Notamacropus eugenii: one gene and its partner. The protein of the gene in region 2 interacts with the protein of the main gene of each other region in a pairwise test. Links are inferred from orthologs where the notes say so. Each region holds a gene or a part of one and is shown on either strand. Other genes may lie near its edges.

The links. The genes of interacting proteins can lie anywhere in the genome.
Region 1: the proteins of NUP62 (region 2) and CCDC121 interact in binary tests that used the Homo sapiens proteins (3 or more experiments, as listed by UniProt). The two-hybrid records come from large-scale screens. The link is inferred for Notamacropus eugenii from reciprocal best matches to the Homo sapiens genes NUP62 and CCDC121.

The regions. Positions count from the first base shown.
Region 1 is NC_092872.1:528,878,057-528,888,013, forward strand, and holds the start of CCDC121 (coiled-coil domain-containing protein 121), read right to left. Parts: upstream 3,756-9,957; 5' UTR 3,047-3,755; coding exon 2,952-3,046; intron 2,173-2,951; coding exon 1,214-2,172; intron 1-1,213. Other genes in the region: GPN1 (GPN-loop GTPase 1), read left to right, coding at 4,339-4,458, 4,564-4,657, 8,879-8,918, 9,419-9,485.
Region 2 is NC_092879.1:31,950,136-31,960,165, reverse strand, and holds the start of NUP62 (nuclear pore glycoprotein p62), read right to left. Parts: upstream 4,409-10,030; 5' UTR 4,295-4,408; coding exon 4,207-4,294; intron 3,885-4,206; exon of another isoform or gene 3,749-3,884; intron 3,663-3,748; coding exon of another isoform or gene 3,599-3,662; coding exon 3,467-3,598; intron 1-3,466. UniProt on the Homo sapiens protein: Essential component of the nuclear pore complex. The N-terminal is probably involved in nucleocytoplasmic transport.

The DNA.
Region 1 (9,957 bases), on a different chromosome or scaffold from region 2:
CCTTGGAATTCATAAGGGTGAAGAGTTAAGGATGATTTGGATGGTGATTTTCTCTTTCAAAAGTTGTTCCAGAGAAATCTGAACTGAAATAAGCTTCTTTTTCTTTCAAATGTGCCTGTAGAATAGGTATCCTGAATCATTCCATTGACTAGGGTGTTACAATGATGATTATTTCTTCCACTGCAAAGCTGTTAAAAAAACCTAATCCTTAACATATCTTTTTGCCTTCTACCATTCTCAGTAAAATTCAGAAGTAAACATAAGCTACTTAGTATCAAATCAAAACAATGCTACCAGGAAATAGGGAATTCTATTAGCTCACTTTCTTGTCCTTCACTACTACAGGGCCCCCTTGACATATTTACAAGAGTACTTCATGCTTCATTGGAACACCAAGACAAACCAAAAGCAAAAAGGCAATTACTAGGTCTTTGGCACACAACTTTAACATCTCTTTCCCCTACCCTTAAGTCTCAGATTTGTCAATAGCAGTTGGACTGGGGCCTGTACCTCCCTGTTTATGTTGCAATGGTTCAAACAAATGGGTGCAAAGACCAAGGCAACAAAAAGGGACCTACCTGTATTTGCTAATCTGAGATTTTGGAATGTCTGTGTTACCACTGTAGAGTCAATGTAAATGGTTGCCATCAAAAAGAGTTTATCCTTTGAAGAAAGTTAACATTGAGTCCCAAAGAAAGCAAACATTCATAGCTTGACTTGCTCCTTTTCCGGTCCACTATAGAGAATATCTGGTAAGCAGCCAGGGAAGCCAGTCAGTTAAATGTTGAGATGCTGGAAGATACTGAGATGGATTCTGTTTTATCATCGGAGGATGAAGTGAGTGAGGGAGGTATAGATAATTCCAGGAATTAAATGTTAAACAGCACTACAGAAGAAGTGCTAAGTGAACTTAACTCTCCTTTTAATACTTTCAATAAGCTATTATCTTAAGTCATTTTCCATAGATTTTTTTTTACCAGAAATAGGTTTTTAAATATGAACTTTTCTACTGTTGTGTTTCATCCCTCTTTCTACAGTCTGACTGATAGCCTTCTATTTCATATTCATTTCATTTTTTTTCCATTTAAAATTACAAGATCCTAGAGGCAGAGATCACTTAAGTTACTTTGTACAGCAACTAACAAAATCTGCTTAGGTGGATGTATAATAAATATTCTCACTAATTAGGATGAATTCATCCTTGGTTTGGTACCTGGGAGAGGGGCCAGCGTGGTCTTTGAACTGCTTTGTCCTTTCTGACAGGGAACAGCTCTTAGTAGTTGACGCCGTCTCCCTTCTTTGATGCTCTCCAGGCAACACTGCTCTAGCTGTAGTTGCTGCTTCTGCTTTCGAAGCCTGGTCCGCTGGGCCTCTAGCTGCTGGGCTTCTTGAATAAGCCGTACCATTTCCTTATGCAATTGTTCATTCTCATTTTGCAGTTGCCAGGTGAAATCAAGGATAGATTTGTCTGCTGCATGTTCCAGGATATGGTTGTGCTTTCCCATCATACTTTTCCCCAGCAAAAGCTCTACATCAGATAGCTGATGCTTCAGTGCTCTCCACTCTTTAACCAGATCACCTTGTACACTATGAAGGTGTGCTTTGGCCTCCTTCTGGACTCTTGGTTTTTCCATTTGCAGTGATTTGATAAGCTCCTCCTGGGTAATCTTTATTGTCCTCCTAGCATTTAATGCTTGAATCTTCTTTTTCAGTTGGGCTTGGGTCTCTTCTTGTCGCAGCAGCTCTTCCCGGAGTGATGATATATGGGACTCATAACTGGAGACCAGCTCCTGCCTTTGACATTGTATCTGCTCCAACTGTTGTGTCTGTTGATCCCATACCTTAATTGGTGCTACCTGTTTTTTCTTGGTTGGATCAGGTACATATCCCATTAGGACAGGGCTGTCACCTAAGAATGGTTGGATTTCAGCTTGCATGTGGCAATGATCATCTATGAGCTGCCTCCTCCGGGCTCGTGTTTGCATCAGTTCCCCATTCAGCTGGATCATTTTCTCCTCTACCTGTGCCTTTATTGCCAGCTCTTTCTGCACCCTTTTCTCCAACTCCTCCTGTGACTTTAAAAACTGCTGTAGCTTTTTGCTACCCATTAGCAAAGCAATATTACGATTCAGATTCAGATTCTGCCATATCATTCTGGGACCCCGAAAAAATCTGGGGGAAAAGCAGCCAGAAATATGTTATTTCTCCATTATACCTTTATGATTATTTGTGAGCTATTATTATTACCTTGATGTCACTTATCTTTCATGACACTCAGTGTGTCATCCTTCATTGGCTCAAGCCACCAACTCTTTCACCTCTCCTAAGCAACTCTCAAAAATTCAAAGGACAGTGTGAGCTGTTATGTTCAAAAGACATATGATTTCATTGTATGTTCTCCTCTTATTGACAGACTGCAACTCCTAATGTGCCTTTATAAATCACTTTATGAATTTCTGTGGTCAAAAAATTTATTATTCAGTAGCCAAACTCTAAGTAATGAAGCTTTTTTGATCTTAGCTAGGCTGGTCCTAGGGTGACAATATTTCCCAACTAATCTACTCTTTCCAGCTTGGTAGGATCTATCACAGCTTTTGACCTCTGGGTATAGACAAAATCCAAGGAGGTAGGGCAGATTACAGAAGAGGTGTACAAAAGCATGCCACTGTTTTGTAACAATAGATTCAGTAATGGCAAAACTCTGGATGTTCTGAGGCTGACAAGGAAATATAAAGTCAAAAGGAGTTTTTAAAACCTTATTTGCATTTCTGTCCCCAGATCCTAGTACAGTGCCTGGTAGGTGCTTACTAAATGTTTGTTGATTGACTGGAAGATTCCCTTTCTCTGGAAGTCCTCTAGCAAAGGCTATTTCGGGGCATGTTGTGGAGGGGGTTTTTGTCTCACATGTGGGTTGCTCAAGAAAGTCTCTGAGGTTCCTTCCAACTCCTTACCTGAGGTAGATGCTCTGTCCAGTGCAGTACAAGAACTGGGAGAAAAGTTGGGAGAATCTTTTTTTTTTTTTTTTTAGCTGTTTATCCTTTGCCATCTCTTGCTAAGCTAACCCTTTCCCCCCATGGGTCTCTGCTTTGGAGAGGTTTTCCTCCTTTGCTCCCTCCGACCCTTTTTGAGCTCACCTGTTACGAGTACTCAAATGTTGCTGATCCCAAAACTGCTGGACACGGTGCACAAGGGTAGCGGGGGTGGAGGCCAGGGAAGGAACTCCACGCGAAAGATTGAGTCTCATGAGTTCCTCCCTGTGGAAGCTTCTGGGAACCCAACAAGTGTCGACGTACAACCCTACAGGAAGATTGACGTCCGGTGACCACTTCTGAGTTTTCCCAGGGCCAGAGGACCGAGAGCTCTTGTCCTGGTCTGGGGTCTTGGGCACCGTACAGAGGACACAGTAGTCGCCTTTGCCCACTTCTTTCCTGCCTGTGGCAGGCTGAGCCTCGGAGCTCAGGGTGTCGTCGCTCTCTTCCCGAACACTTTCTTCTCTGGAGGACTTAGAATTCTCGTCCACTTCCCAGTCCTTCCCCAGTTGAGTCGAACCCAACTTTTCGCCATTTTTGTCGCCCGCTCTCCTCACCACTTCTTCACCTGTGCTTTCTTTTTGCACCCGCTCTGGAATATCCTTGATCCATTCGAGCCTCAGAACGTCTTCAAAACCAGTCCTGGGACCAGCGACGGAACCCAGGTGATTGGATTCTTCTTCATATTCCACCCCAGTCTCAGGTCCCTGTGCAGGCTCCGCCCCCTCTTCTGCCCCCGCCTCTGATTCTACTCTACTCTCAAATCCCAGTGCAGGCCCTGCCTTTGGCCCCGCCCTTGGCCCCGCCTTCGATTCCGCCCTACTCTCAAATCCCAGTGCAGGCCCTGCCTTTGGCCCCGCCCTTGGACCCGCCTTCGATTCCGCCCTACTCTCAAATCTCAGTGCAAGCCCTGCCTTTGGCCCCGCCCTTGTCCCCGCCTTCGATTCCGCCCTATTCTCAATTTCCACGGCAGGTTCCGCCCTTGGCCCCGCCTTCGATTCAGCCCTACTCTCAAATCTCAGTGCAGGCCTTGCCTTTGGCCCCGCCCTTGGCCCCGCCTTCGATTCCGCCCTACTCTCAATTTCCGCGGCAGGTTCCGCCCTTGGCCCCGCCTTCGATTCCGCCCTACTCTCAATTTCCACGGCAGGTTCCGCCCTTGACCCTGCCTCCTCCTCCTGGGTCCCTGGCCCTGTCTCCAGATCCGACCTAAACTCTGATTCCGCTCCGTTTTGCCCGCTTGCCGTCGGACTGCTACTCAGTCTCATTTCCAGCATCGCTCTGCGCAGGCGCTGCCGTACACACTGGCAAGATGGATTCTTCTGCGGGAGCGGCGGCTCCGGAGGCAGAGGGCCCCCAGCCCCGGCCTCGGCCTCCAGTGTGTCTCCTGGTGCTGGGGATGGCGGGGTCTGGGAAGACGACATTCGTACAGGTGAGGTGGGGAGAGGCTCTTGCTGGAGGGGCCCTGGCCGCGGCTGCCCGGGGTAGCGGTGGTGGGATGGCGGGAGCACCTTCACCTTCGCCTTGTCTCCCGCAGAGGCTCACGGGATACCTTCACGGCCTGGGCTCGCCGCCCTACGTGATCAACCTGGACCCTGCGGTGCACGAGGTCCCCTTCCCAGCCAACATCGGTGAGTCGGCGCGAGCGTGGGCCCGACGTGTGGAGGAGCCCTAAGAAGTTGCGGGTCGAGCCGGGCCTGTGGGCTCTTCGACCACTCTTACACCGCCCCAGCGTCCCAACCTGGCGCGGTCCCTCCCGGCCTCCCCCTCTTCCTCTTGTCCGGCTGCCCTGTTCGCTCAGCTGGGGATGTTATGACGTCATTTACTAAGATTTGGGAAACTGAAGGGACAAAAGGTCCGCTTTGCAACAGTCAGTCAGTAAGCATTTAAGTGCCGTCTATGTGACAGGCACCGTGCCAAGTGCTGGGGATACAAGAAAAAAAGGTAAAAGACATTTAAAAAACGATCAATGCTCCTACTCAAGAGGAGCCCACTGTCTAAGAGGGCAGACTTGAAAAAAAGCTATGTATAAATAAGCTATGTATGGGATAAATTTGGAACTGAGGAAGACATTTAACTCAACAGTAGACACTGAGATGTTCTAAGAGGCTCAGACTGTTCTTAGAGTCCCAAGAAACCTGGGGTACTTTATAGCACCTTGAGGGCAATTACTGCTTTATTTTATGAGTGGAAATGCTTAATGCATATTGATTGATCCAGTCTTACAATCTACCAATGGATCAACATCTGACAACTAAGTGACATTCAGTCTACGTGGAAAGCCTAAGTGCCAACTCTAACATCCCTGAGGAGTTCAATCATGAAGGCTGCCTGTGATCCTGAATCTGCCCCTGTCCATAGGACCTCCTTCCATTTTTGCGCAGTTCACTTGTTCCCATTTAAAGAACTTCATCTTTTTCTAGACAATGAAAAAATTGGAAAAGAAATTCTCCTTTAAATCTGTGACCCTAAGTTATTGACTCCTAGTGTCACTTAGGCTTCTTGTATTTTAGGGCTTCCTAATTCCCAAGCCATAGTTTTATTCTATTTCTCACCTTTTTGGGTAACCTTGAATTATGTTGTCTTTGGTCATGAGATGGCTATAAATTGGAAGGCAATCATTAAGCCAAGATACTAATTTTAGTTTGCAACAGTGTTGAAGACTTGGACTGAAAAGTTATTTCATTCTCTGTGTCCAAAATTTATTTGTTAAGTAAATGATTTGCTAGGGGAGAAGCAAAGTGGAGTAAGTAGATGGAGACCTCCCTTGACTAGGAAGATCTAAATTCAGTGCTCCTGGCAACTCTAATTAGTTGCCAAGGTGCCACCCTTCATTTATACAACTCATTTCCTCATCTGAGAATTCTCTATACCAATGACATCACAGTTCCAATCCCTTTTTCTATTCTTATTCCTGCGCCCTTGGGATACAGAACCAGAATATTCTCTGTCCTTAAGGAATTTAGGTTCTATTGTCTTGTTCTGTGTTCTCCATTCCATTCCATAGCCCCTTCCAGTTTATTCCTTGACATCTATTGAGTCTTAGTGTCTTTTAAGCTATTTTCAGAGGCAGACTACTAAAATGAATCTACTGTTTCTTAAAAGAGTACTCCTCACGAAATAAGGCCCAAGTGAAAATGGGATCATAATTACTTGAAAATATACTTAATTGTACAAATTTATATGCATTTTAATTCAGAAAAACTTTTTAAGCTGGATCATGCCTTAAAGTTATTTTTTCAAGTACTTCTATAATAAATGCTTAGTGAAAGGTTCATTAATAAATTCTATTAATTCTGCTTAAAATGGCTCATACTGTATTGTAAGCTGCTCAGAGTTAACACCTTTTGAGAAGATCATTGATAGAGTGGAGTGTATCTGGAGAAGGGCAAACTGGCTGAGTTGGGGACTTTGGAGACTTTACTAAATGTGGGTCATTTAAAGAAAGTAGAGAGGTTTAGCTTGGAGAAGAGTATGTAAGGGGAAAACGATGTTATGTGGAAGAAATATCAGACCTTAGAAGTCAGTAACATAACAACTCAGATTTATTTGGTGTGTTAAAGTTTACATACAACTTTCCTTACAGAGACAACAGGGTATAGTGGATAAAGCAATGACTTGGAATCATGAAATCCTGGATTCAGATCCTGTCTCAGATAACTTTATAGTTGTCTGACCCAGGGCAGATCACTTAATAACTTCCCTGTGACCCAGTTCCTTCATCTGTAAAATGAGAGGATTGAACTTGATGGTCCTTAAAGCCCCTTCCAGTTCTAACTGTACGATCCTTTGAGCCCCTTGTACTGTGTTCATATTAAAAGTATTGTGTGTATTTTACAGATAAAGCTTAAAGAAATTCCTTCCCAGAGTTACAGCTAGGAAGTATCAGAACCTGGTTCAAACCCAGGTCTTTTTGACTTCAAGTGGAAGGTTTTTTCCATTATGTCATGCTGCCTTTCCACCACAGAGCAATGAGTGGAAGTTTCAAAAAAATAAATTTTCGACTTAACGTAATTCAATTTAAGTTAGCAAGCATTTATTAAGTACTGTCTTTGTACCAGGCACAGGCCTTAGTGCTAGGAATACAAATATGGGCAGGAAGAAAGATAGCCATGGAAGGCATTCAAGGAGCTTACATTCTAACATGGAAAGACAATATATAAAAAGAAACTGAGGGGTTGTGAGGAGAAAAGGAAAAGTGAGGGCATGGTATAGAAAAATTTTTAGAGAGTCAGGATTAGATAAGAATGAAGGAGTGAACATACTTGGCCTGGACACTTCCTTAAAATGGAGGTTCCAGTGTGTTAAGGTTTACAAATAGCTTTCCCTGTAACACCCTAGAGGCAATATAGTATTGTTGATAATGCACTGGACTTGGAGTCAGAAAATTCTCAGTCCTACCTCAGGTACTTTCTAGCTGTATGACCATGGATGAATCATGTGAACTCTCTGTGACACAGTTTCTTCATCTGTGAAATGAGGGGATTGGTTCTTCTAAGGTTTCTTAAGGACAAATGACCTAACAATCAGTTTGTCCAGAAGTGGGACTGGCTTTTTTGGGACCTGTAGGTTTGCAGGTGAAGGCAATGTGACCATTCACTCAGAGATTTTGAGAAGATTTTTGTTCAGGAGTTCAGCATTAGATGAGTTTTGAGGTTCCTTTCAGCTTTGTGTGGGATCTAGCTCATGTTGTGGTAGGAGGTGTGTCTGTTGGAAAGTCTAGTTCTTGATTTCTCCCCTCCCCACTTATGTTATGAGCTCCTGGAGAGCAGGGATTGTCTCTTGCCTCTTTTTGTACTCTTAGTACTTAGCACAGTGCCTGGCACATGGGCACTTCATGACTGCCATGACCAAGTTAACATGCTGTCTTCTTCAAGAAGTCTTGCCCTTTTCTTTGATCTTCTCCCCACCCTCAATCTGAAAGTTTTATCTCTTCCTTGTATTTCCTTTGTCATATTACATTTGACTAGTTATCATGCCTGTGTTTGTGTATAGATTATAACTCCTTAAGAACAAACTCATCTTTGATTCTCAATACATTTAATAAATTGTTGCTGAATTGAATTGATATCTTCATTACTTAGAGGTAGTTGGGAAGGTGGGAAACTTAAAACTTATTTCTGTGTCATGTTCATATTTGGGTGGTGTGTCTTTGAATTATGGCCCCCAAAGAAAAATTTTGTACATTTTTGCACTTTTGTATATTTTGTATGTTTCCCAACCCTACTCTAGCCCATCATTCCATGGGAACATCACTGCCATGTAGCTGGGAGTTCCTCTGTCCTGTGAGCTTCCAAGTTACTGTATGAACTACTTTGATGGTTATGTCTTTGTACCCAAGGAAAACCAGTATGAATTGGTCCAAGAGAAAATTGTCTAGAATAGCTTAGAAGTCTGACTGCTAGTACCTGTTGGGGGAGAGGGGAACAATGTCAGTAAGGATTAATAGTCTAAAGTTATCCTTTGTGTTCTTCCTTCATGTAACACTATTTCTCTACTCATTCTGTTTCCACATTCTTACTTTCTGATGTGGAACATATTGGAGACAGACATAAGGACACATTCTGATGGTGAGGAAGAAATTCTTCACTTTTAAAAAGAAATAGAGGGGCAGCTGGATGGTGGGTGGGGATAGAACACTGGCCCTGGAATCAGGAGAACCTGAGTTCAAATCTAGCCCCAGACACTTGACATATCCTAGCTCTGGGCAAGTCACTTAACCCTGATTGCTTCACCAAAACAAAAGGGGAGGGGGGAACAACACTTTTGAGACCATTTTAGAGCTCTAAAATGGTGGGGCTATTCTGAGGTCTCCCAAGTGTTGGTCTGATTATTATTATTATTTTTTTTAGATATTCGGGACACAGTGAAGTATAAGGAAGTCATGAAACAGTATCCTTTTCTGTACCTGCGTTAGTGTTTTCTAACTTTTTTTTCCTATGTTTATAAACTTAGACGATTTTGCAGTGTAGTTCATATTTTATGACAAATACTAGCCCAGACATGTGAAGTAACTAATTTTTTAAAGGAGAAAAATGGAGAGTGGATCTGGAAAGGATATTATAGCTGATCTACAAACCTTTCTTAAGTGATTTCAACCTCCTTGAAATAAACCTAGATTTGTAATAAATTACAAAATGAATTTATAAAATTTGGAAGATTTTTGAAAAAATCCTTTCATTTCTCCTATCCTTTATGAAGTGAAGACTGAAAGAAAACCTTGTACCTTTGATTGTCACATAGAACTTTTGTGAGTAGGTTTTGGTTTGCAGTTTTTCAAAGCCTAATTCCTTCAACTTTGATATCAGAGTGATGTTCGCATCTGTGGTATACTAGGTATGAACTCTATTAGATTGCTTGTAAACATTTGAATTCCTAAACTTTGTGTCTAGATATGGACTTGGACCCAATGGTGGCATAGTGACCTCCCTTAATCTCTTTGCTACCAGGTTTGATCAGGTATGCATATCTCCCCTTCCGTCGTATAATAAAATTGCAACTCTTATTTCCTTGAGTTTGACCATTTTATGAGACAAAGTCTGGATAAATCTGAATGTAAACGTAGGAAATGTCAGCACAGAAGCTATTTTAATTAGGATGCCCTAATTAAGTAAAGCTGCAAGGGAAGATTACTAGGGTGGAGTGGAAAGACACTTGGTTCTAATACCACCTCTGTCACTTTTTAGCCTGGTAGTTAAGTAAGTCACTTAACCTTTCTATGTATGTTTGCTCATCTGTAAAATAATGATAATAACATCTATCCTTTATACCTCTTAAGTAAGGGTTATTGTGTTGATAAAATGAGTTTATGTATGTGAAAACACTTTGGAAAAAAGTCAGAAGTATGAAACATCTGTTATTTCTATTACTTCATATTTAATGATATTTATAGTCACACAGTCAGAAATTCAGGGTTCTCTTTCTGTTCTGT
Region 2 (10,030 bases):
ATGCAAGTTGCCGGAAGGGTGCTGCCTGACACCAATAAGATACAGCAGTGAGAGAAGGGAGCAGAGCCCGAGGATCTGGCAGCAAGCCCTGTCTTAGTCATCTGAAGTGTGCCCAAAAGCAGATCATGCACCAGGCAACTCTCCACAAGTGGCAGAGGAGGCCAGGCACTTTGGCCCCAGAGAATTCAATAAGTAAAGGTCACATTAACTCTTGCTTTTCACAACACAAACTATCACTGAGTTGGAAGTCTTAAAGTTAGACAATCATTCACTTGCTCAGGGTAAATTTTCCATGGTTGCCGAATTTAAAAGCTCTACAAGCTTTATAGAATGAACAGAGAAGCTGCATGACATAGTGGGCAGAGACAGGGGTGTGTTAAAGATCTGGGTTCAACTTCCACATCCAACTCTGAATGGCTGTCTGACCCCCTGGGAAAGCCCTTAACTTCTGCATTTCACAAGCGAAGACAGAAAAGGCTGCAATCTCCCCAGGACAAAGTTTCCACAACAGGAAGTTGGGTATTCAAGCAAACAGTAGGCAATCAAGTTTAGTGGTTTTTAAATACTTATATGAAAAGTTGTAGCAATCAATTAACAAGCACCTACTCAATTCTAACACTATGCCATAGGCAATGGGGTTACAAATACTATATAAATACGAAAGTGTGAAGAGAGAGTCTTTGCCCTCAAGGAGCTGATAACTCTACTGGCAGCTGAAATCAATCTGAAATTACCATCCAGGACAGATCATTTTGCATCCCCCAGTAAAGCCATTCTTCTTAACTGATGCTTCCCAGGTACATTTACAGAGGCCCTGCCAAAGACTCACTTCCCTAAAACTACCTAACTTCAGGAAGAGAGGAAACACATCCCTTCTGTCCCTTCTTATTTCTCTTTGTATTTTAATCACTAAGTTCTCTTTCCTATCACCCTATCCTACCCAACTTACCCCCTCCCCCCAAAAAAAGCCAGGCTGGTTTTGGGCTCACCTGAATGTGCTAGATGGAACAAAGTATCAAACAGACTTGCCTTCAAGACACAGACAGAATTTTATTGAGCTAGCTACCCAGAATTCCAAACTGCTGAGGCTGAAGAACAGCAGACTACTTTTAAATGTGTAAAATAGGAATCCTCCTATGGGCATGCAACTTACATTCCAAGGGGAGTTTCCAAGCAAAGCATTAGCTTGGGAGAACTCAGCACACCACCAGGTCATCAAGTACCATAATCTTGGAAAAAGACACATACATTTCTAGATCCTCTAGGCAACAGCACCAATGTCAGGTCTCAGTCACACAGTAATCAACAACTGACAAGCTGGTATAGCATCTAGAACCAAAGTTCATTGAAATCAGAGATACTTTTTGGCCACTCACACCTGGTCTGTTAGTTGCAGCTATATGTCAAATGATACACCACCAAAGGGAACATATTTTATGTAGTTGTGTAAGTCTAATGCATCCACAGGGTGTTTTCAATAAGGTCTGTGCCGTTCTGTAGCTTGGTTTGAGCGGGGCACCTGTTTTCTTCTTTAAGACTGTCTCACCAGAGCAAACTGGCCAGGTTGTTTCTGGGAAATACATATTATGTCTTCTGATAAAAAGTGGCAATCATGTAATCATATCCAGTTATTTTGAATCCACAAATATCATGAGAGGCAAGCATAGTGGAAAGAGTGTAAGACTAGGAGTCAAATTAACCAAGTTCCAATACATGGTTCTCACACTTACTAGCTGACCATGGTCAGCTTCCTCATCTGTAAAGTGGGGTTAGCCATAAACAACAGCCTCATAGGATTGGAAGGACAATGCTTTGTAAACCTTAAAGTACCATGTACATGTGAGTTATCATCCTTCAGTGTGTGAGACGCACATCTGATGGATGGCACTACACAAAATAGTGAGTTCACTAGCCCAGGTACTATAATTTTTGGTCAGTCAGAAGAATAGAAGAGTTGCGGAGTGCTAATTCAGATTTTATTTATATATTACTCTCTGCAAGCTTCACCAATTTACAGAAACAAAGAGCAGATTATGCAAGGTAATAGGTAGGGATGGGGTTGTAACCCGTGATTTCACTATTACTGGGGAACTCGGTGAGTAAACTCCCTCTACAAATGGCTGGTGGGCACATTCTTTGTAACTTAAAGAGTCCTAGAGAAACTGCTTGGAGAAGCGAATCTCAAACGAAAGGGTCTCAGGGCCTCTTTACAACTCTTAAAAATTATTGAAGACTCACCCAAAGAGCTTTTATTTACCTGGGGTATATCTATGAATATTTACTGTATTAGAACTTTAGACATTTTACTATTATTATGATAAGAATTTTGAGCCGGGAACTCCCAGGGCTCTATAGAACTTAAGAGCAAGAGAGCTCCGAGGGCTGAGAAGTTAGGTCATACATCCAGTAAGTGTCAGAGGAAGAATTTCAACTCAGGTCTCCCTAGCTGCGAAGCCAGCTTTCTATCCACTATGCCAAACTTCCTCTCTATGATAATAGCTCATAGAAGAAATTTTGAGAAAAAAAAAATTTCTATTTTCCCCAATAGCTTCAATGGCCTCCTGCTCCAGCAAACTTTTTATTATGGTTGATGAAGGCTGAATTACTCCGGAGAGGTTCAGCTTCTTAGCACTGTACCAGACTACTAAGGTAAAACCTTAAATGCTGATGACTTTCCCTTTCCCCATTAAGGAAGGCACTTAACACGAGAAAAAGTAGGCAGCGTGGGCAGCAGAAAAGAAACTCAGCTGGTCTACAAATAAAATATACATGTTGATCTTACTATATACACTCATAAAAGGTATTAAATATTGATTGCCACATGGGTTAAGGAACTCCAGTGCGAAACTTAGGCAAACTCTAAATAGCAACTATTACTGATAAGTCACTGACAAACACAATGCAAAAAAAATCACCTCAGCAAATCGCAGACACGCAAGAAAATGAAAGTCAACGCTATTTCTCTATGTATTTATCAGAAAATAGTCCCCAAGTACCAAAAGCACAGAACAAGCAAAGATATTTCAGAGGCGAAAGGACAGAGCTGCCATAGTGAAGTATAAAAAGGCGGGAAACTTGGAACTTTAGGCTCGTGAGACTTTGCTTTAGTGACAGCGTGCTGCAGGGCTACACTTTATCTCCACGAGCTGGTCTTTTTCGTCCAAAGATACAAAAAGGGGTCAGAGAGGGCGCCTCCTAAGCAGGACCCCCGCCACTCCTTGTACTGAGGAAGGAGACTCAGACACGTGGAGAAAGAGAAGCCGGGTGGCGACAAAAGCAGCCCCCAGGTGCTCCGCTAAGGTCCCTGTGCCCGGCCTTTCGGCTCACAACCAGAATGCTTTGTTTGCAGTTAATGCAGCCTTCGGGCGTGGGCAGAAGTACCCAGGTACAGGGAAAGGAAATCTGTCAACTCCCGTTGGAAAATAACAGAAAAGTAAAGGTAAAAGAACCCCAAGCCGATACGAACTCACCACAATGGCTGCCGCTCCCGCTCCCGGCCCGGAAGTGAAGTTCAAACCAGGTGCGCCTGCGCAACAGCGTGCCAGCGTCTTGCGTCGGTTAGGAGGGAAGCGGTGCTGCCTGTAGCAGAGGCAGCGAACTGGAGGGGTGGAGGGGGGAAGGTTTCCCATTGGTCCGGACGTCCTATGGGCTGCTTCTTGCATCGCTCTAGAGGGTAGGCTCTTCTAATTGGTGCAAAAAGTTAGCGGGTACGAGGGAGAAAAGAGGCCAGTAGTTGCCATGACAACAGAAAGAAGCTGAGCTCTCGGACTTCTTTTTTGCTTGAGGACAAATTAGAATTTCCACCGAGTCTCACTAACCGACTTAAAGGAGGGAACCTCCAGAAAAAAGCTGAGGAAGACATTCACACAGACCGCACGTGGCAGGTAATGGCGATCCGTCCCCCTATTTCTTACGGTCCGAAAAGTGGTAACGGTCAGGGCCTTTGGGCTAGGCGCGGGCTGGCAGTCTGAGAAACGGCTGAGGGGGGGCTGAGGGGGCATGGCGACGACGAGTTAGCCGGCTGGGCTGAGGCTGTCGCCACAAAAACCCTCGAGATCGAGGTAAAAAAAAGAAAAAGAAAAGAGAAAAAAAGAAAAGAAAAGAAAAAAAGGGGGGGAAGGGAGCCCGCGTGAGCCTGCCCTCCCACCTCCCGATTCTGTGCTAGTGAAAAATGTGATGAAGGTTACCCGGTACCGCTGTACTTACGGAACGGGTTCCCCCTCTGATGTGAGTCGCCGGGGCCTGACATTGGGGATGTAGGGGTGTTTGGGCCCTTGAAAGGCCAGCGGAACATCTTGAGGCGTCGTTTGCCCAGGTGCCGTGGCGCTGAGATGCTGAGGAGATTTTTCTGGGGCGGGGCTGGGAGGAAGGCGGTCCCAGCAACCCTCTAGGGGGGCGGAGTCACAATGAGGCGGGAACGAGCTATCTCGTGGGGGAGGGGAAAGTAGAAGCGGTCTCCACCCTGATGGGGCATAATAGGGACAGCTCAACTGCCCTTTAGAGAAGGGGTGCAATGGAGGCGGTCCCAATAACCTTGCGGGAGCGGGGGGGGGGCACGGGCCGATGGAGGTGGTCCTAATTATCCTATAGGAGCGGAACACGGTGGTGGGGGTCCTCAATAACCTATGGGAGCAGTCCCAGCAGCCTTTTGGGGGCGGGACATAACGGGGGCGATACCATTTACTCCAGTGTGGGGACAAAATGGGAGCCATCCCAGCAGCCTTGTGGGGGCGGGACATAACGGGGGCAGTAACATTTAACCTGTGGAGGCACAAAATAGGGGGTCTCCCAACAGCCCTCGGGGGAAAGGGTACAATAGGGGCGGTATCGATAACATGGGGGCGGGGCCGAATGGGGGCGGTCCAAATAGTTTGTGGGGGCGGGGCATGTCGGAGGAGAGCTCTGCAGCTTAGTGGAAGCGGGGCACGATGGGGGGCAGTACTATTTAATCCTGTGGGGAGACATGATGGGGTGTCCCAAACAGCCATTTAGTGAGGGGATATTATGGAGGTGCCCTGTGTAGAGGGACCACGAGGGGGGCGGTACCAATTAACCTATGGGGGCGGGGCATGTTGAGCAGTCCCCCTCAGCCTCCTGGGGGAGGGGCAAAGCAAGGGAGATTCCACTTGTCCATTTGGGGGCTGCGTAAAGTTTGAAGTGGTCCTAGTGGACCCGTGGGGCGGGGCAGGGCAGAGAGCGAGGTTGTCTTAAGCAGCTCCCTGGGGAGCAGTCACCCCTTTGGGATAGAGTCCCCCTTTCTTGGGCAGAACCCAGGGCTTCAGACAATATCTGAGGCTACTATAACTTCTCAGTGACTGGAGTCCTAGACTGAAAGTTAGGAAGATGAGTTATTCTAATTCAGCCTCTGACACTCATTAGCTGTACCACCCTGGGCAAGTCACTTAACTTTTTACAGCCTCAGTTTCCTCCTCTGTAAAATGAGGATAATAGTGACAGTCTTGCAAGGTTGTTGGAAGGATAAAATAAGTTAATATATAATGAGCTTTGGTGTTTGATTTTTTTTTTGTATTTTAGTATCTAATTTTTCCCCAGTTACATGTGAACAGCAATTTTTTAACATTTGTTTTTAAAACTTTAATTTCAATTTCTCTCCCTTCCTGCCTCCCCAGCCCTCCTCTTTGAGAAGGCAAGCAAGTCCATATAGGTTATATATGGGTAGTCATGCAAAACATATATGCATATGTAAAATGAAGAGGCCCTGAAAAGCCATGTCTTGGACCTCCACTATGTGCTATGTACAATAAACACAGGCCAGGCCAGTCTCCTTTTTCACACTCTCCCACCCCATCACCCAATTGTGATGTTTAAAACTCTAAAAGTATAAGAGAATGAAAGTAACTGGTCACAGCAATATCACCCTCTGGGGTAAAGAAGTAGTTGTCTGCCCTGCTCAGCCTGCCCCCACACCGTTCATGCTTTTCATTTGCTCTGGGGCTGCCCTGTGACTACTAGCTAACTTAAGCAAAAACAATTCTGGACTTTCCCAGGACTGGCTAGTGGTTGGAGTGGATATCTTGATGTGTACACTAGTATTTCCATGCTTTGGGGAGCCCAAAATTTCACCAAGGTGAGGACTGATCTTGCCCACTTGGGTGAAAGCTGACCATTGTGTCTGCTCACTGTCATCAGCACTGTCCTGAGACAAATGACACCAGATCTGGGCCCGTCCACTGGTGACCTATGCCATTAGCTCTTGAGTGTCCTGTGAATTGCTCTTGTAGGAGAAACAGAAGACTAGCAGGATAATACTAGCTGAGGATGATTAATTGAAGGATAGGCTGAGTAAGCCTGACTGACAGAGTCTATGGACTACAACTCCCACTAGAAGTCATTAGTCATTAGCAGGGGCTGATTTGTCTTGATTTCTAGGGCTGATTTGTCTTGATTTCTAGGGCTGGCCAAGAGGAATAAATCCCAAGGAACCAAAAGCAAGGGGCTTCTCTTGTAGCTGCCCTAATCATTCAGATTAAAAGGGATCTGGGATCCTTTCTTGGGGGGGATCCCTTTTTTTTTTAATTAAATTTATTTATTTAACTTTTAACATTCATTTTCACAAAATTTTGGGTTACAAATTTTGTCCCCTTTTATCCCCCCCCCCCCAAACACCAAGCATTCTAATTGCCTCTATGACCAATCTGCTCTCTCTTCTATCATCCCTCTCTGCCCTTGTCTCCGTCTTCTCTTTTGTCCTGTAGGGCCAGATAGCTTTCTATACCCCTTTACCTGTATTTCTTATTTCCTAATGGCAAGAACATTACTCGACAGTTGATCCTAACACTTTGAGTTCCTACTTCTTTACCTCCCTCCCTCTCCACCCCTTCCCTTTGGAAGGCAAGCAATTCAATATAGGCCAAATCTGTGTAGTTTTGCAAATGACTTCCATAATAGTTGTGTTGTATAGGACTAACTATATTGCCCTCCATCCTATCCTGTCCCCCATTACTTCTATTCTCTTTTGATCCTATCCCTCCCCATGAGTGTCAACCTCGAATTGCACTCTCCTCCCCATGCCCTCCCTTCTATCATCCCCCCCACCCTGCTTGTCCCCTTGTCCCCCACTTTCCTGTATTGTGAGATAGGTTTTCCTACCAAAATGAGTGTGCATTTTATTCTTTCCTTTAGTGGAATGTGATGAGAGTAGACTTCATGTTTTTCTCTCACCTCCCCTCTTTATCCCTCCACTAATGAGTCTTTTGCTTGCCTCTTTTATGAGAGATAATTTGCCCCATTCAATTCCTCCTTTTCTCCTCCCAATATATTTCTCTCTCACTGCTTGATTTCATTTTTTTTTAAGATATGATCCCATCCTCTTCAATTCACTCTGTGCACTCTGTCTCTATGTATGTGTGCATGTGTGTGTGTGTGTGTGATCCCACCCAGTACCCAGATACTGAAATGTTTCAAGAGTTACAAATATTGTCTTTCCATGTAGGAATGTAAACAGTTCAACTTTAGTAAGTCCCTTATGACTTCTCTTTGCTGTTCACCTTTTCATGGTTCTCTTCATTCTTGTGTTTGAAAGTCAAATTTTCTTTTCAGCTCTGGTCTTTTCATCAAGAATGCTTGAAAATCCTCTATTTCATTGAAAGACCAATTTTTCCCCTGAAGTATTATACTCAGTTTTGCTGGGTAGGTGATTCTTGGTTTTAGTCCTAATTCCTTTGACTTCTGGAATATCCTATTCCATGCCCTTCGATCCCTTAATGTAGAGGCTGCTAGATCTTGTGTTATCCTGATTGTATTTCCACAATACTTGAATTGTTTCTTTCTAGCTGCTTGCAATATTTTCTCCTCGACCTGGGAACTCTGGAATTTGGCCACAATGTTCCTAGAAGTTTCTCTTTTTGGATCTCTTTCAGGCGGTGTTCTGTGGATTCCTTGAATATTTATTTTGCCCTCTGGTTCTAGAATCTCAGGGAAGTTTTCCTTGATAATTTCATGAAAGATGATGTCTAGGCTCTTCTTTTGATCATGGCTTTCAGGTAGTCCCATAATTTTTAAATTGTCTCTCCTGGATCTATTTTCCAGGTCAGTTGTTTTTCCAATGAGATATTTCACATTATCTTCCATTTTTCCATTCTTCTCTCTTTGTTCTGTGATATCTTGCTTTCTCATAAAGTCATTAGCCTCCATCTGTGCCATTCTAATTTTGAAAGAACTATTTTCTTCAGTGAGCTTTTGAATCTCCTTTTCCATTTGGCTAATTCTGCTTTTGAAAGCATTCTTCTCCTCATTGGCTTTTTGAACCTCTTTTGCCAATTGAGTTAGGCTAGTTTTCAAGGTGTTATTTTCTTCAACATTTTTTTGGGTCTCCTTTAACAGGGAGCTGATCTGCTGTTCATGCTTTGACTTCATGTCTCTCATTTCTCTTCCCAGCTTTTCCTCCACCTCTCTAACTTGGTTTTCAAAATTCTTTTTGAGCTCTTCCATGGCCTGAGCCCATTGGGTGGGCTGGGACACAGAAGCCTTGATTTCTGTGTCTTTGCCTGATGGTAAGCATTGTTCTTCCTCATCAGAGAGGAAGGGAGGAAATGCCTGTTCTCCAAGAAAGTAGCCTTCAATAGTCTTATTTCTTTTCCCTTTTCTGGGCATTTTCCCAGCCAGTGACTTGACCTCTGAATATTCTCCTCACACCCACCTCGCCTCCTGGTCCTCCCAGCCAGCGTTTGGGGACTGAGATTCAAATGCTGCTTCCAGCCTTAGGGCTTTTGGCGGGGGCAGGGCTGCTGTTCAGTGTGAGATGAAGTTCAGGTGGTCAGGTCGGGGCAGGGCCGCCTCTCAGGCTCAGTTCCCTCAGGGGGTTTATGCACAGACATTCTACAATGGATCCAGGCTCCCGCCTGCTTGGGGAGCCCTGGTCTGCAGCCGCCTCTCAGCTTCTACCTCCCGGGGGGGCCCGAGTCATGGTGGCACCCCACTCCCCTCTCGACCCGCCAAAGAGACTCTCTCACTGACCCCCGTCACCTGTGGGTGGAGGGACTTGTGTGGCCGCTGGAGAGCCCGTCCCCGTAGCCTGCTCGGATCTTTTCTTCATGGTGTCGCGGCCGCTGCAGGGCTGCCCTCAGCTCCCAGTCCCGGCACCCAGTCCACAGCGCGAAGGACCCCCCGCGAGAGGTTTGCAGGTCTCTCCGGAACAGAAATCTCCCTCGCTCCAATATTCTGTGGCCTCTGGGTGCAGAATTCGCCGTGAGTTACTTCCCTGTAACCGTTCTATGGGTTGTGGGTTCGGAGCCGGGATCTCTTTTTAAAAGGCATCTGGGAGGAAACATGGCTCTCCGCAATAGGAACACTGGTAGCCCTTGGTTAAAAAAGGGCTTTGGGGATGCAAAGGAGTAACCCCAGGACCTCTGAGGGCTAGAAGTGGCACTAAACCTTATCCTAGTTCCTAGAAGTGACACTGAGGTTAGATTTGAGTGGTGTACCACCAGACTGGTTAGGTAGGGAGAGACTGAAAACCTAGAGTCTGCCTAAGTCACAGAAGTGATTATGTAATCTGAACTGGACCCATCTCTAACCTGTGAGTGGCTGGAGCTAAACAAAGCAGGCCAGAAGCAGGTGAGTCAGGATTCAAATAATGGTTTAATTTCAAAGTGAGAAAATCAGGTTTGCAAACCAATGTCCTCCTGAGGAGGACTTATGACTTTATAGTAGAATCACAACACAGTTATTCTTATGTCTTGAGTAAACAGTTTCCACAGTTGGCATTTCTTGGGACAATACAGGAGTTCTTGGGTCCTACGTAAACAGTTCCCAAATTATTGGAGTTGTTGAGCTTTGTGATCACTCAGTGGGGTATAGAACCAGAGTTAACATGGCAGGAACAGGAGTTCAGCATCTGGTTCGGTTCACTCAGTGGTTACATAAGCACAGGAATTGTTAAAGTGTCAGGGGAGGTGATTGATATTGATTAATATGAAAATCATAAATTCTTCAATGGATTCCTGGTGCTGGTCAAAACAATACATTTTGCCAGAGGGTGGGATCATCCAGAGAGTGAGCACAAAGGATT